Macaca fascicularis: one gene and its partners. The protein of the gene in region 2 interacts with the protein of the main gene of each other region in a biochemical or structural test. Links are inferred from orthologs where the notes say so. Each region holds a gene or a part of one and is shown on either strand. Other genes may lie near its edges. The genes, in order: MAPK7, PML and CHEK2.

Region 1 (3,746 bases), on a different chromosome or scaffold from region 2:
CTACATACTAAGATTCTATAAAACTGTAAAATCATCTGTACATTTCTTGAGGAATAACAGTTGTCCCTGGCAAAACTCTAAAGGAGAACTGGTCCTAGGACTGCGGGAATTTTCCCAGCCTGCTTCAGATTAGATTCAGCTGCCCTTCCAGAACTTCAGCAATATGAGTGCAGCCTTCAGAAAAGTCCCAAGTCTGGCTCCCTCTCCCATCCCGCTTCTTACACAGATTTGAATTCGCCATAGGGCACAGTGGGCCTCAGGATGTCCTTGATGGCGATGATGTTGTCGTGCTTAAAGTGCTTGAGGATCTTCAGCTCCCTGAGGGTTCGCTTGGCATTGGTCACCACATCAAAAGCATTAGGGATCTTCTTGATGGCCACCTGCTGGCCTGAGGAGCAGGGAACAGGGACACACCAGAGGATACCTTGGAGAAACTGCAGAGTCGACCCAGCCCCTATCAACACCTCCCTTCTAGGATGCAAATGACAACAGCTACCAAGTACTGGGTACCTACTATGTGCCAAGCATGTTACCTACATTATTAAATGTGACCTTCACAACTCCCCTACAGGGCAGGTCCCAATAGGTCAATGTTAAAGAGAAGGAAATATGGCTTAGTAACTTGTTGGAGGTTGCACGGCTGCCCAGTGGTGGAGTTCAGTCTCTAATGCCTACACCCTCTGCATCTCAGACCTCACCCATCCCACCACCAGTTCCTTGTGCCAGTGTCTGGCTCCAGAACACATTTGTCTCTTAGACACGAAGGAATGGCTCTCCATTCTGGTCTAACTGGGACTGTCATTTTTCTAAGGAGGAAGTAGGCAGGCAGGATGGCAAAACCCCCAGGCCAGAGTTTCAGAGAACCGAGCCTCCCCGGAGCCTGGCAGGCAGAGGGTCCTGGTCAGCGTGTGTTGACTGGAGCCAGAACTCGCACCCCGCTTTCCTTCCCAGCTGTCTGGGACGGGCCGGTTTCCCACTCCCTGCGACGCTGCCACATCTGGGAGGCGACGGCTCAGGAAGCTCACCGGTGAGGCGGCGGCGGGCGGAGGACACCACTCCGTAGGCCCCGTTGCCTATGGTCTCGATGATCTCGTACTCGTCGCCCACGTCAAAGGTCACATCGAAGGAGCGGGCTTTAAGCAGGGCCAGGTTCTTGGCCGCTACAGAGGCAGCGGTGTGGGCGGGTTCGGCCTTCACGGGCCCGGGGGGTTCCGCAGAGCCGTCCTCGCCGTCTTCCTCCTTCAGGGGCTCGGCCATGGTGTCTGCGTGGAGACTCGGGTGAGGAGGGGACCGCCTCCCGTGGGCCTCAGCGTCCCCTCTGCGGGCTGGGGAGCAGGACCAGGGAACTTCCCAGTTCCCTAAACCGACAAGGGCCAGAAGCGCGCGGTTGGTTCGGGGAAAACACGCTACCCCAGGGGTCGGGGCCCAGCAGGGGCCAGGCCAGGGTCGGGGGATGGGGAGGCGAGGCGCGGGCCAGGAAGAAAGGGAGGGGCGGGGCACCTGGGTTTCCCCCGGGCCGCACTCACCCCCGCGCCTCCTCAAGGCTTTCAGAGGTCCCGAGGCTCACCGGCCTCCCGTCCCCAGCGCGGGAGTCTCCGAGGGTGGCTCACTTACTTATTCAAGGGCCGCGGCCACCACCTCAGCGTCGTGAGCTGCCCTGTCCGTCCCCCTCCGCCCCGCCTCCCAACACCACGCTCCCTCCAGCTCCTGGCCAATCGCTGAGCTATTTCTGCGAAGGGTCCTGCCCCTTCTACCTGCTGCGCCCAATCCTAGCCCACCGGCCGAGGAAGCCACGCCTGGCGCGCGCCGCTGTCCAGCTAGCCGGCGGGAGCCGCCCAAAGGGTGCCCGGCACTTCACAGGGGTGTGCTCCCCGCCCGGCACCGCCTTCAAACGCATGCGCACTGGCAGTCGGGCGCCAAGTGAATGGAAGGCAACGCCCATGCACGTAGCGCGCGCGTCCCCATCTAGCGCTCGACCTCGTCCGGCCAATCACAGCTAGTCCCATGAGCTCGGGCAACTGTCCGGACTGAGATGCCCGGGACTGGGACTGTTATCTTGGCTACTGGGTCCCGAAGTCCCCCTCCGCCCCGGGAATTGTGCCCACCATTTTCTCGGTCCCAGGAGCTCTGGGAATGTGTCATCCCCGGTAGAGGGTGCCCGTCACGGCCAACCACAGAGATCCCGGTCCTCCAGGATTCTAGAGCGGCCGGCCGAACCCTCCACTGACTTCCGGTGGCTGAGTCTCTCCGCAGCTTCCGGCCAAGTGGGACCGCACCTGGGGGTTTCCTGGCCTGCAGGTGTGTTACCTCCGCTCGTTTGTTTGTCCCGCGATTCCCGTGCTTTGGGCTGCAGCGGAGTTAACCGAGGCGGCCGCCCGGCCTCTGTCCCTCTGCGGAGCCCGCTGGTAGGCGGAGCCCTCGCTGGAACCGAGCTGCGCCGACCCACCCCAAAATCCGATGGTTGATTCGTTCATTCATGTAGCAAATGTTTCTGGAGCACCGCCCCTCTAAGGCTCAGTGCCAGGAGGCGAAGATGGATATGGTGGATAGTGTGAGCTGGAAGGAAAGGTTTTTTAAAGGGAACGGGGTAGGGCTGAAAGAAGTGAAGAATTTTGGTTTCACTCCTAGGCGGCTTATAGAAAAAAGCAATGCAAATACATATTCGTACCCACCTTCCCTTTCGTGTACAAAATGTAACATATTCTCTTTTCCTGAAGATCATTCCGTATCAATAACTGGAGGGGTCCCTCACTTTTAAACAACTTTTAATAACATACCATATATAGTGTACAATTGAGTGTTTTTTGGTGTATTCACAGTTGAGCAGCCATCAGCACTACCTAATTTTAGGTAGAGTGGTTTATGGAACATTTTCATCGCCCCTAAAAGAAACTTATGTGAACCAAGTATCTGAGACAAGTCTCAAGTCAATTTAGAAAGTTTATTTTAGCAAGGTTAAGGACATGGTGGTGACATAGCCTCCAGAAGTCCTACAACATGTGCCCAAGATGGGGCACAGCCAGCCTTTATACATTTTAGGAAGACATAATACATAAATCAATACGTGCAAGATTGACATTGATTTTATGTGCTTATTGGCCATTTGTCTCCTTTGGGGAAATGTCTGTTCAATGTCTATTCTGAAAGGGCAGGACAACTGGAAGAGGAGGGGCTTCCAAGTCACAGGTAGATTTAAACATATCCTGATTGGCAGTTGGTTACAAGAGTTATTATCTATAGAAAGGAATATCTGGATTATGATAAGGGGTTGTGGAGACCTAGGGTTTTTTGGGTTTTTTAAGTATATTATTATTATTTTGAGAATGAGTCTTGCTCTGTTGCCCAGGCTGGAGTGCAGTGGAATGATCTTGGCTTGCTGCAACCTCCCCCTCCTGGATTCAAGCAATTCTTCTGCCTCAGCCTCCAGAGCAGCTGGGATTACAGGCGTGAGCCACCAAGCCCAGCTCTTTTTTTTTTTTTTTTTTTTGTATTTTAGTAGAGACGGGGTTTTACCATGTTGGCCAGGATGGTCTTGAACTCCTCACCTCAAGTGATCCACTGGCCTCCCAAAGTGCTAGGATTACAGGCGTGAGCCACTGCGCCCGGCCGGGAGACCTACGTTTTATTATGCAGTTGAAGCCTACCAGTAGCCGGCTATAGAGAGAATAGACATGTTTCTTATCAGACTTATGGTCTGTGTTGATGTTAATGTTGGAGGGGTATAATGAGGCATGTCCAACTCCCAT
Region 2 (3,746 bases):
TTCCTAGAACTAAATCCAAAGGAAAACCCGAACTCTCCACGCCCAAGTAACAAAAGGACCAGAGGCTACTCTCTTTGCAAAACACCCCATTTCCTGCCTGGCAGATGGAAAATTGAAAGCACCTCTGATTGGTTGCTTTCTACAACCAATGGGGTGAACACCAAGTGGCCAATGGGAAACCTCTAGGGCATATTTGGAACCCAGAAGATTCTGTAACTTGGGCCCTTGAGCCCTGCTCCAACCCATCCCACCCTGTGGAGTGTACTTTCATTTTCCATAAATCTCTGCTTTCATTGCTTCATTCTTTCCTTGCTTTGCTGTGCATTTTGTCCAATTCTTTGTTCAAAACGCCAAGAACCTGAACAACTTGCGGTCAAGACCGTCTACTGGTAACAATTCCACTTATATGAAATATCTAGAATAAGTAAGCTCGTAGGGACAGAAGGTAGATTAGAAGTTACCAAGGGCTAGGGGAAGGAGAAAATGAGGAGCTATTGCTTTACTGAGACTCAGGACACACCACTTCAAAATATGACTGCAGGAGGCCAGAATATGCCACCCTTGAAATATACTTTGTTGGCATATTTTAAGCTGGTTATTCTGAGAAACTGCTGATACAGGAATAGCTCTGAAAAGCTCTCCTTTTGTAAAACAGAAAGGCATTTGCATCCCAAAGAAAATCTACATTAGTAAAATGGTCTATATTAAAAGAGGGCTGCTCCAGACAACTCTTATTATCTAAGAACTTTTTATCTACATAGCAAGACAACAGCTCCTCTCCTCACCCTCCCATAACTTGTGTCATCACCACCACCCAGAAGCTCCAAGCTCTTTTCTGTGGATCAGGATGTTATATAGGCTTCAATCATCTGACCTTTCTTTGAGTCTCATACTTTGTGGGACTCCTGAGTATACATATGTAATTAAATATGGGTTTTCCCCCTGTTAATCTATTTTATGACTATTTAATTCATAGCCCAGCCAAGGAAACTAGAAGGGTGGAGGGAAGCCATCTTTCCCTCCCCTATGGTTTAAAGGGTACAGAGTTTCTGGAGCAATTAAAAAGTTCTGAAAATAGATGGTGGTGATGGTTACACAATATTGTGAATCTACTTAATGCCACTGAACGTTACACTTAGAAATGGTTAACATAGGAGCTTATCCGTTACGTATATTTTACCACAATTTTTAAAATACAAAAGCAGTCCGGGCATGGTGGCTGACGCCTGTAATCCCAGCACTTTGGGAGGCCGAGTTGGGCAGATCACGAGGTCAGAAGTTAGAGACCAATCTGGCCAACATAGTGAAACCCCATCTCTACTAAAAATATAAAAATCAGCCAGGTATAGTGGTGTGGCCTGTAATCCCAGCTACTCAGAAGGCTGAGGCAGGAGAATCACGTCAACCCGGGAGGAGGAGGTTGCAGCGAGCAGAGATCGCACCATTGCACTCCAGCCTGGGCGACAGTGCAAGACTCCATCTCAAAAACAAACAGATAAACAAACAAACAAAAAACAAAACAAAACAAACAACAAAAAACCAAAGTGCTTAATACAGTACCTGGCACATTTGAAGTGCTCATAAATGTTAGCTAGTGTTGTTAAGTAATGTTATTCTTAGTTGTAATAATGCTTATAAAAGTTACTGTAATACAGTGTCCTCTGTACTTTCATGAAGGGGAGCAAAAGGGCCTGGAAGACAGCAGAACAAGAAACCCAAGTAGTTCCTTTGGGGGTGGAGGTGGGAGGTAGGCAGGACAGGTGTGGCAAGAGAAGGGTTTGTTAGGGAGGCTTCCTTAAGCAGAAACCACATGAGCTGGGAGGCCTTGGCAAAGATACCTCTTCAGTCTGAGCCACAGTTTCTCACCTCGGATCTGGGAAGTTGGTTTTAGTTTTGCTGTGCCTGGGACATGCTCCTGGCTCCAGGCCAGCGCAACAGGGCTACCACTTCCATCCTCCCTAATCTGTGGTCCTGCATCTGAGGCAGGGTTGACCAGGGCTCGAGGGTGGGCGGAAGGGCCCAGGCCCGGAGGCCACTGACCCTTCTCACCTTGCCCAACTGCTCCGTGGAGAAACCGCAGCCCAGCGAGGCCGCCCCAACTCCTCCGGGTCCTCTTTTCTACTCTATCCTACCCTCCCATGCCCCAGCCAAGAAGGTCAGGACCCTGGTGTGTGGTCTTCCCGCTTTGTGTCACTCTCTAGCGTACTTGACCAAATCCTCCGTTAGACCCTCTCTTCCCCACTCTCCCCACCACAGCAAACCAACAAAGCCTAACCCCATCATCCCCTAACCCAATAGTACCTCTGTAGGGCTGTGGCTGGGGCTGGGCTGACGGCCTTCCGAGGGGGTCTCGGGGGGAGGCATGGTGGGCGCGTGGGGCCGGGCGGGGTCCTGCTGGGGCCTCGGAGATCGGGCGGGTGCAGGCTCCATGGACCTCAGCTTAGTTTCGATTCTCGGTTTAGATCTTGGAGGGCGTGAAAAGAAACTAAAGGGGAGGCGTGAGCCAGTTGGCTGAGCCCCTTGAGCTGTCCGAAAGGGGAGGTGCCAGCTCAGGGCCCGCCTCTGGAGAGGAAGTGAGACACAAACTGGGGGCGGTTCTAGGGGCAGAGAGGCCGACTGTGGGTTTTAAAGACACGCCCAGAGCGGGGAGGAAGGAGAGGCGGGGAGCCGCAGACCTACTGCTGGCTTACGGTAAAGCGGGAGAGGCAGGGCAGAGCTGCAGAGGGGCAGCCCCGCCCCCGGGTTTGATCCATTCATCAGTTCACACTGGCACTGCTTCGTGCCACCTCCTGCCGGGAGCTGGGCGCACAAAGATGAGCCACACGCAGCCCCTGCTTTTTAAGAGCCCCAGATGTAATGGAAGAGCAAGCTTGCAAACGGAGACATTCTGGAAAGGAGAGCCCTCAGCTGGGACCTGAAAAAGCAGTGGGAATTCACCAGGGATTCAGGGCTGTAGGTGGTGGGGTCCAGGGGACACTGGAAACACGAAAGATAGCTCTTGCAAAAGGCATGGAAGTTTGAAACACGAAAGCCTGTTTGGGAACTAGTTTTGGCCGTTTTCAGATTTAAGAGGGAATTCATGAGAAATGATGCCCAAGAAGTGTGCTGGGACAAGATCCTAACTAAGGAGATTGGACCAGTTCTGGGAGTGATGGGAAGTTGGTGAAGGATCTGGAACCAGGAAACAACATGATCAGCTGTGCATGATGGGACGGTCACTCTAACAACCTAGGGGCACATACCCTTGTCTAGGACAGTGGCTGTGGGATGCAGAGGAGGGTCTTGAGTCAGAGATCCTGGGAAGCCAGTGACTGGAGGTGAGGGAGCAGGGTGACGCCTTGAGTGACAGCTGGAAAGGCTGGTGGATGTGAGGTGGTGGGGGCAGGAGGGAGGGGGAGAGCTGGAGAGCGGGTATGAAGAGGGAGAGGGGAGAGCCAGGTAGGTCTTCACCAGTGGAAAAGCATGCCAGACTCCCAGCTGGTGAGGGGGAAAGGGCACAGCTCCAGGTGACCTCACTGGGCCAGTGCCCCTGGCTTCAAACTTAAACCATCGCAACCACTGTGCTGGCTCCTGTGTACCCATTCTGTACTCTGTTCCAACTTAGAAACAGACTAGAAAGGATGATGATAGGGCCTGGCTCTTGTAAACCTTATAGTATGCGGGCTGGAGGTCAAGGGTTGGGTGGATACCCAACTTCCTAGGGACTGTAAGAGGCCTCAGGAGCCTGCCCTTCCCTCCAGCCTGGT
Region 3 (3,728 bases), on a different chromosome or scaffold from region 2:
ATCTGTAATCCCAGCACTTTGGGAGGCCAAGGCAGGGTGGATCATCTGAGGTCAGGACTTCAAGACCAGCCTGGCCAACATGGCGAAACCACATCTCTACTAAAAATACAAAAAATTAGCTGGGCGTGGTGGCTCGTGCCTGTAGTCCCAGCTACTTTGGAGGCTGAGACATGAGAATCACTTGAATCCAGGAAACGGAGACGGAGATTGCAGTGAGCCGAGATCGCGCCACTGCACTCCAGGCTAGGTGACAGAGTGAGACTCTGTCTCAAAAAAAAGAAATGGGCAAAAGATCCGAACAGACATTTCTCAAAAGAAGACATACAAATGGCCAACGGGTATATAAAAAAATGCTCAACATCACTGATCATTGGAGAAATAACAAATCAAAACTACAGTGAGGCCTGGGCACAGTATCTCATGCCTGTAATCCCAGAACTTTGGGAGGCGGAGGCGGGCAGATCACTTGAGGTCAGGAGTTTGAGACCAGCCTGGCCAACATGGTGAAACCCTGTCTCCACTAAAAATATGAAAATTAGCTGGGCATGGTGGCAGGTGTCTATAATCCCAGCTACTTGGGAGGCTGAGGCAGGAGAATCGCTTGAACCTGGGAGGCAGAGAATGCAGTGAGTCAAAATCGCACCACTGCATTCCAGCCTAGGCTACAGAGTAAGACTCTGTCTCAAACAAACAAACAAACAAACAAACAAACCTACAATGAGATACCATCTCACCCCAGTTAAAATGGTTTGAATAAAAGACAGGCAATAACAGATGCTGGGAAGAATGTGGAGAAAGGGGAACTGTACAGAGTGCTCTTGACATAAGTAATTTTATCTTAGAAAAAGGCTCTTGTATTTTAAAAGGCATTATGCCAATAGGGACCAGATGTTTGTCTAATTAATAAAGACTGTACTGGCCAGGCACAGTGGTTCACGCCTGTAATCCCAGCACTTTGGGAGGCCAAGGCAGACGGATCACAAAGTCAGGAGATCAAGACCATCCTGGCCATCATGGTGAAACCCCGACTCTACTAAAAATACAAAACTTAGCTGGGCGTGGTGTCACGTGCCTGTAATCCCAGCTACTTGGGAGGCTGAGGCAGGAGAATCGCTTGAACCAGGGAGTCGGAAGTTGCAGTGATCCGAGATCACGCCACTGCACTCTAGCCTGCGAGAGACAAAGCGAGACTCTGTCTCAAAAAAAAAAACAAAAAAAGACGGTACTAAACCAGATAAGGACATAAACATGTACACGCTTTTGTTATTAGTCCTTACCAGAAAATTTTGTGGTCATAAGACCAGGACTTTATTAGGTCAGAATGGCTGTCCTAACAGACACCATCTTGCTGTCACTCACGATTAACACCCAGCATCTGCCACCAAAGGCTCATCCACATCAAAAAACTCTTCCTTACAAGACACTGACACCCCAGATCAAGCCAAAACACTCTCTTTGTCCACATTGCTCTCCTTGGACTGGTTTGATAACCGCTTTCCCTATCCCCTTTTCTCTGAATGTTAAATGTTACTTTAATGTAAGATTTTTAACCTATAACATTTATATATTAAATAAATATACTATTGTGTATAATTTACAATGCTGACTGACTTGTGGAATGGCTTCAGCCTGTGTGCCCACGGTTCTGACTACCAAGTAAACAGGTAGTACTACAGAAAATTGCTTCCTTGGGAACTCCATGTAGCTCGTGGCTTTTACAATTAAAATAAAACATCAATAAGTCTGATCTTGTGGAAAAACACAAATGTTCACGGACCTAGTTATGTCTGACCTTGCCCTGTTCACATACACCATTGGTGGGAATGCAAATTAGTATAGCCACTAATCACAAAAGTATTGTGATTCCTCAAAAAACTGAAATTAGGCTGGGTGCAGTGGCTCACACCTGTAATCCCAGCACTTTGGGAGGCCAAGGCGGGTGGATCACCTGAGGTCAGGAGTTCAAGACCAGCCTGGCCAACATGGTAAAACCCCATCTCTACTAAAAATACTAGCCGGGCATGGTGGCCGGCACCTATAATCCTAGATACTTAGGAGGCTGAGGCAGGAGAACCGCTTGAACCCAGGAGGCAGAAGTTGCAGTGAGCCCAGATCGCGCCACTGCACTCCAGCCTGGCAACAGAGAGAGACTCCGTCTCAAAAAAAAAAAAAAAAGGTACATATGTGGTACTCATACATGTATACTTTATATCAAAAATAAATAATTTTTTTTAAAAAGTCCAGAAGGCTTTCAAGTGAAACACAATCTTTTTTTTCAAGTAGAAAACCTAAGTCCGAAGGAGGACTGATTCCCTCCTACCCACTCCTGGCCACCCTATCCCATACACTTACTTAGGGACTTACTTAGGGACCCGCAGAACATCCTCCTACACAGCTCAGTGCGTTTCCAGTTCCTGCAGCGCCCAGTAGCTAAGACTGGCCTCTCTATAAGTATTTTAGAGATTGAATCTAAAGAATGGCAATGACTACTAACATCTATAGAACTTTTTACAAAGTAACTTCGCTCTGATATTGAAGAACACAACTCTGTTCCTTCTTATCCTGTCCGTTCAGGCCTGTTTCAGCTTGTAAGTAATACGGGAAGTGAACTTCACCTCGAGGATGATCTACTAAAAAGGAAGAGAGTCGCCCACACACTCCCCCTTCAGTACAAAAATACAGACAAAGCGAAGCTCAGGAGACTCCGCTCGCACGAAACGCTGAAGATGGGATTCGAACCACCAAACACCCAACAGAAGTTCCCAATATGACTCACCGCGTGAGCCCACCTGGAGCCGCACACTCTCCACAGCCTCAGCCTGCAGTGGCGCTAAACCTGCAGATACAAACTCCACCCTCAGCCAATCAAAACCCTCTCCCCTGCCGCCGGACCAATGAGGAGCAGCAGATGTGGCCGTCAGGCATCGCCTCAATGCTTCCTGGGAGTTGTAGTTTAGAAGGCAGAGCGGAACTTAGAACTCGGGTTCCCCTCGGGTGATCCCGCCCCCTCGACTCCCCAGCCAATCAGCAGCATTAGTCTGGTTGGACGCTCTCTTTGCTTTTCCCCACGGGTGACCACGGCTAGCTAGGCCGCCGGCGAGATGTGGCGGGGGAGAGTCGGGGCTTTGCTCCGGGTGTGGGGGTTTTGGCCAACAGGGGTTCCCAGAAGGAGACTGCTAAGCTGCGATGCTGCGTCGCAGGCGGAAAGCAATTCTCCCCACTGTTGGAACTGCGGCGGCCCATGGGGCCCCGGGCGGGAGGACAGGTTCTTCTGCCCACAGTGCAGAGCGCTGCAGGCACCTGACCCCACTCGAGACTACTTCAGCCTTATGGACTGGTACGAGCGACTGTTTCGGGAAACGGGCCCGGGCGAGAGAGACGTCGGGGTCTGGCCTGCGAGAGGGGAGGACGGATCTGGCTTGCGGAAGAGAAGGCGGGACCGATAGGGGGGCGGAGGTCTAGAGAGCAGGCGTGAGAGAAGTGTCTTGATTTCTCAGGAGGAAATTGAGAGGCGGGGACTGAGGGAAGCAGCGTTGAGGTGTGGAGAAGGGAGACGAACGGGACTGGAGGGGCGGGCGCTGAAGTTAGAGGAAATAGGGGGGCCGAGGCTAGAGGGGAGGGAGATTTGAGGGGCGGTACCTACGGGAAAGGGAAGGAGAAGTCGAGGGGCGGAGCTTGAGGAAGGGGTACTTGAGGGGCAGGGCCCGGGAGACTGGAAGAGTTGGTTT

What was found.
Region 1: the proteins of PML (region 2) and MAPK7 form a complex in vitro, tested with the Homo sapiens proteins (2 studies listed by BioGRID and IntAct, with this or other methods). The link is inferred for Macaca fascicularis from reciprocal best matches to the Homo sapiens genes PML and MAPK7.
Region 3: the proteins of PML (region 2) and CHEK2 form a complex in vitro, tested with the Homo sapiens proteins (2 studies listed by BioGRID, with this or other methods). The link is inferred for Macaca fascicularis from reciprocal best matches to the Homo sapiens genes PML and CHEK2.

The regions. Positions count from the first base shown.
Region 1 is NC_088390.1:19,123,396-19,127,141, reverse strand, and holds the start of MAPK7 (mitogen-activated protein kinase 7), read right to left. Parts: upstream 2,419-3,746; 5' UTR 2,143-2,418; coding exon 2,106-2,142; intron 1,896-2,105; exon of another isoform or gene 1,755-1,895; intron 1,671-1,754; exon of another isoform or gene 1,527-1,670; intron 1,359-1,526; exon of another isoform or gene 1,263-1,358; coding exon 1,026-1,262; intron 389-1,025; coding exon 223-388; intron 1-222. UniProt on the Homo sapiens protein: Plays a role in various cellular processes such as proliferation, differentiation and cell survival. The upstream activator of MAPK7 is the MAPK kinase MAP2K5.
Region 2 is NC_088381.1:50,917,850-50,921,595, reverse strand, and holds the start of PML (protein PML), read right to left. Parts: upstream 2,461-3,746; 5' UTR 2,431-2,460; coding exon 2,302-2,430; intron 1-2,301.
Region 3 is NC_088384.1:22,926,317-22,930,044, reverse strand, and holds the start of CHEK2 (serine/threonine-protein kinase Chk2), read right to left. Parts: upstream 2,841-3,728; 5' UTR 2,790-2,840; exon of another isoform or gene 2,365-2,789; intron 1-2,364. Other genes in the region: iron-sulfur cluster co-chaperone protein HscB, read left to right, coding at 3,102-3,337. UniProt on the Homo sapiens protein: Serine/threonine-protein kinase which is required for checkpoint-mediated cell cycle arrest, activation of DNA repair and apoptosis in response to the presence of DNA double-strand breaks.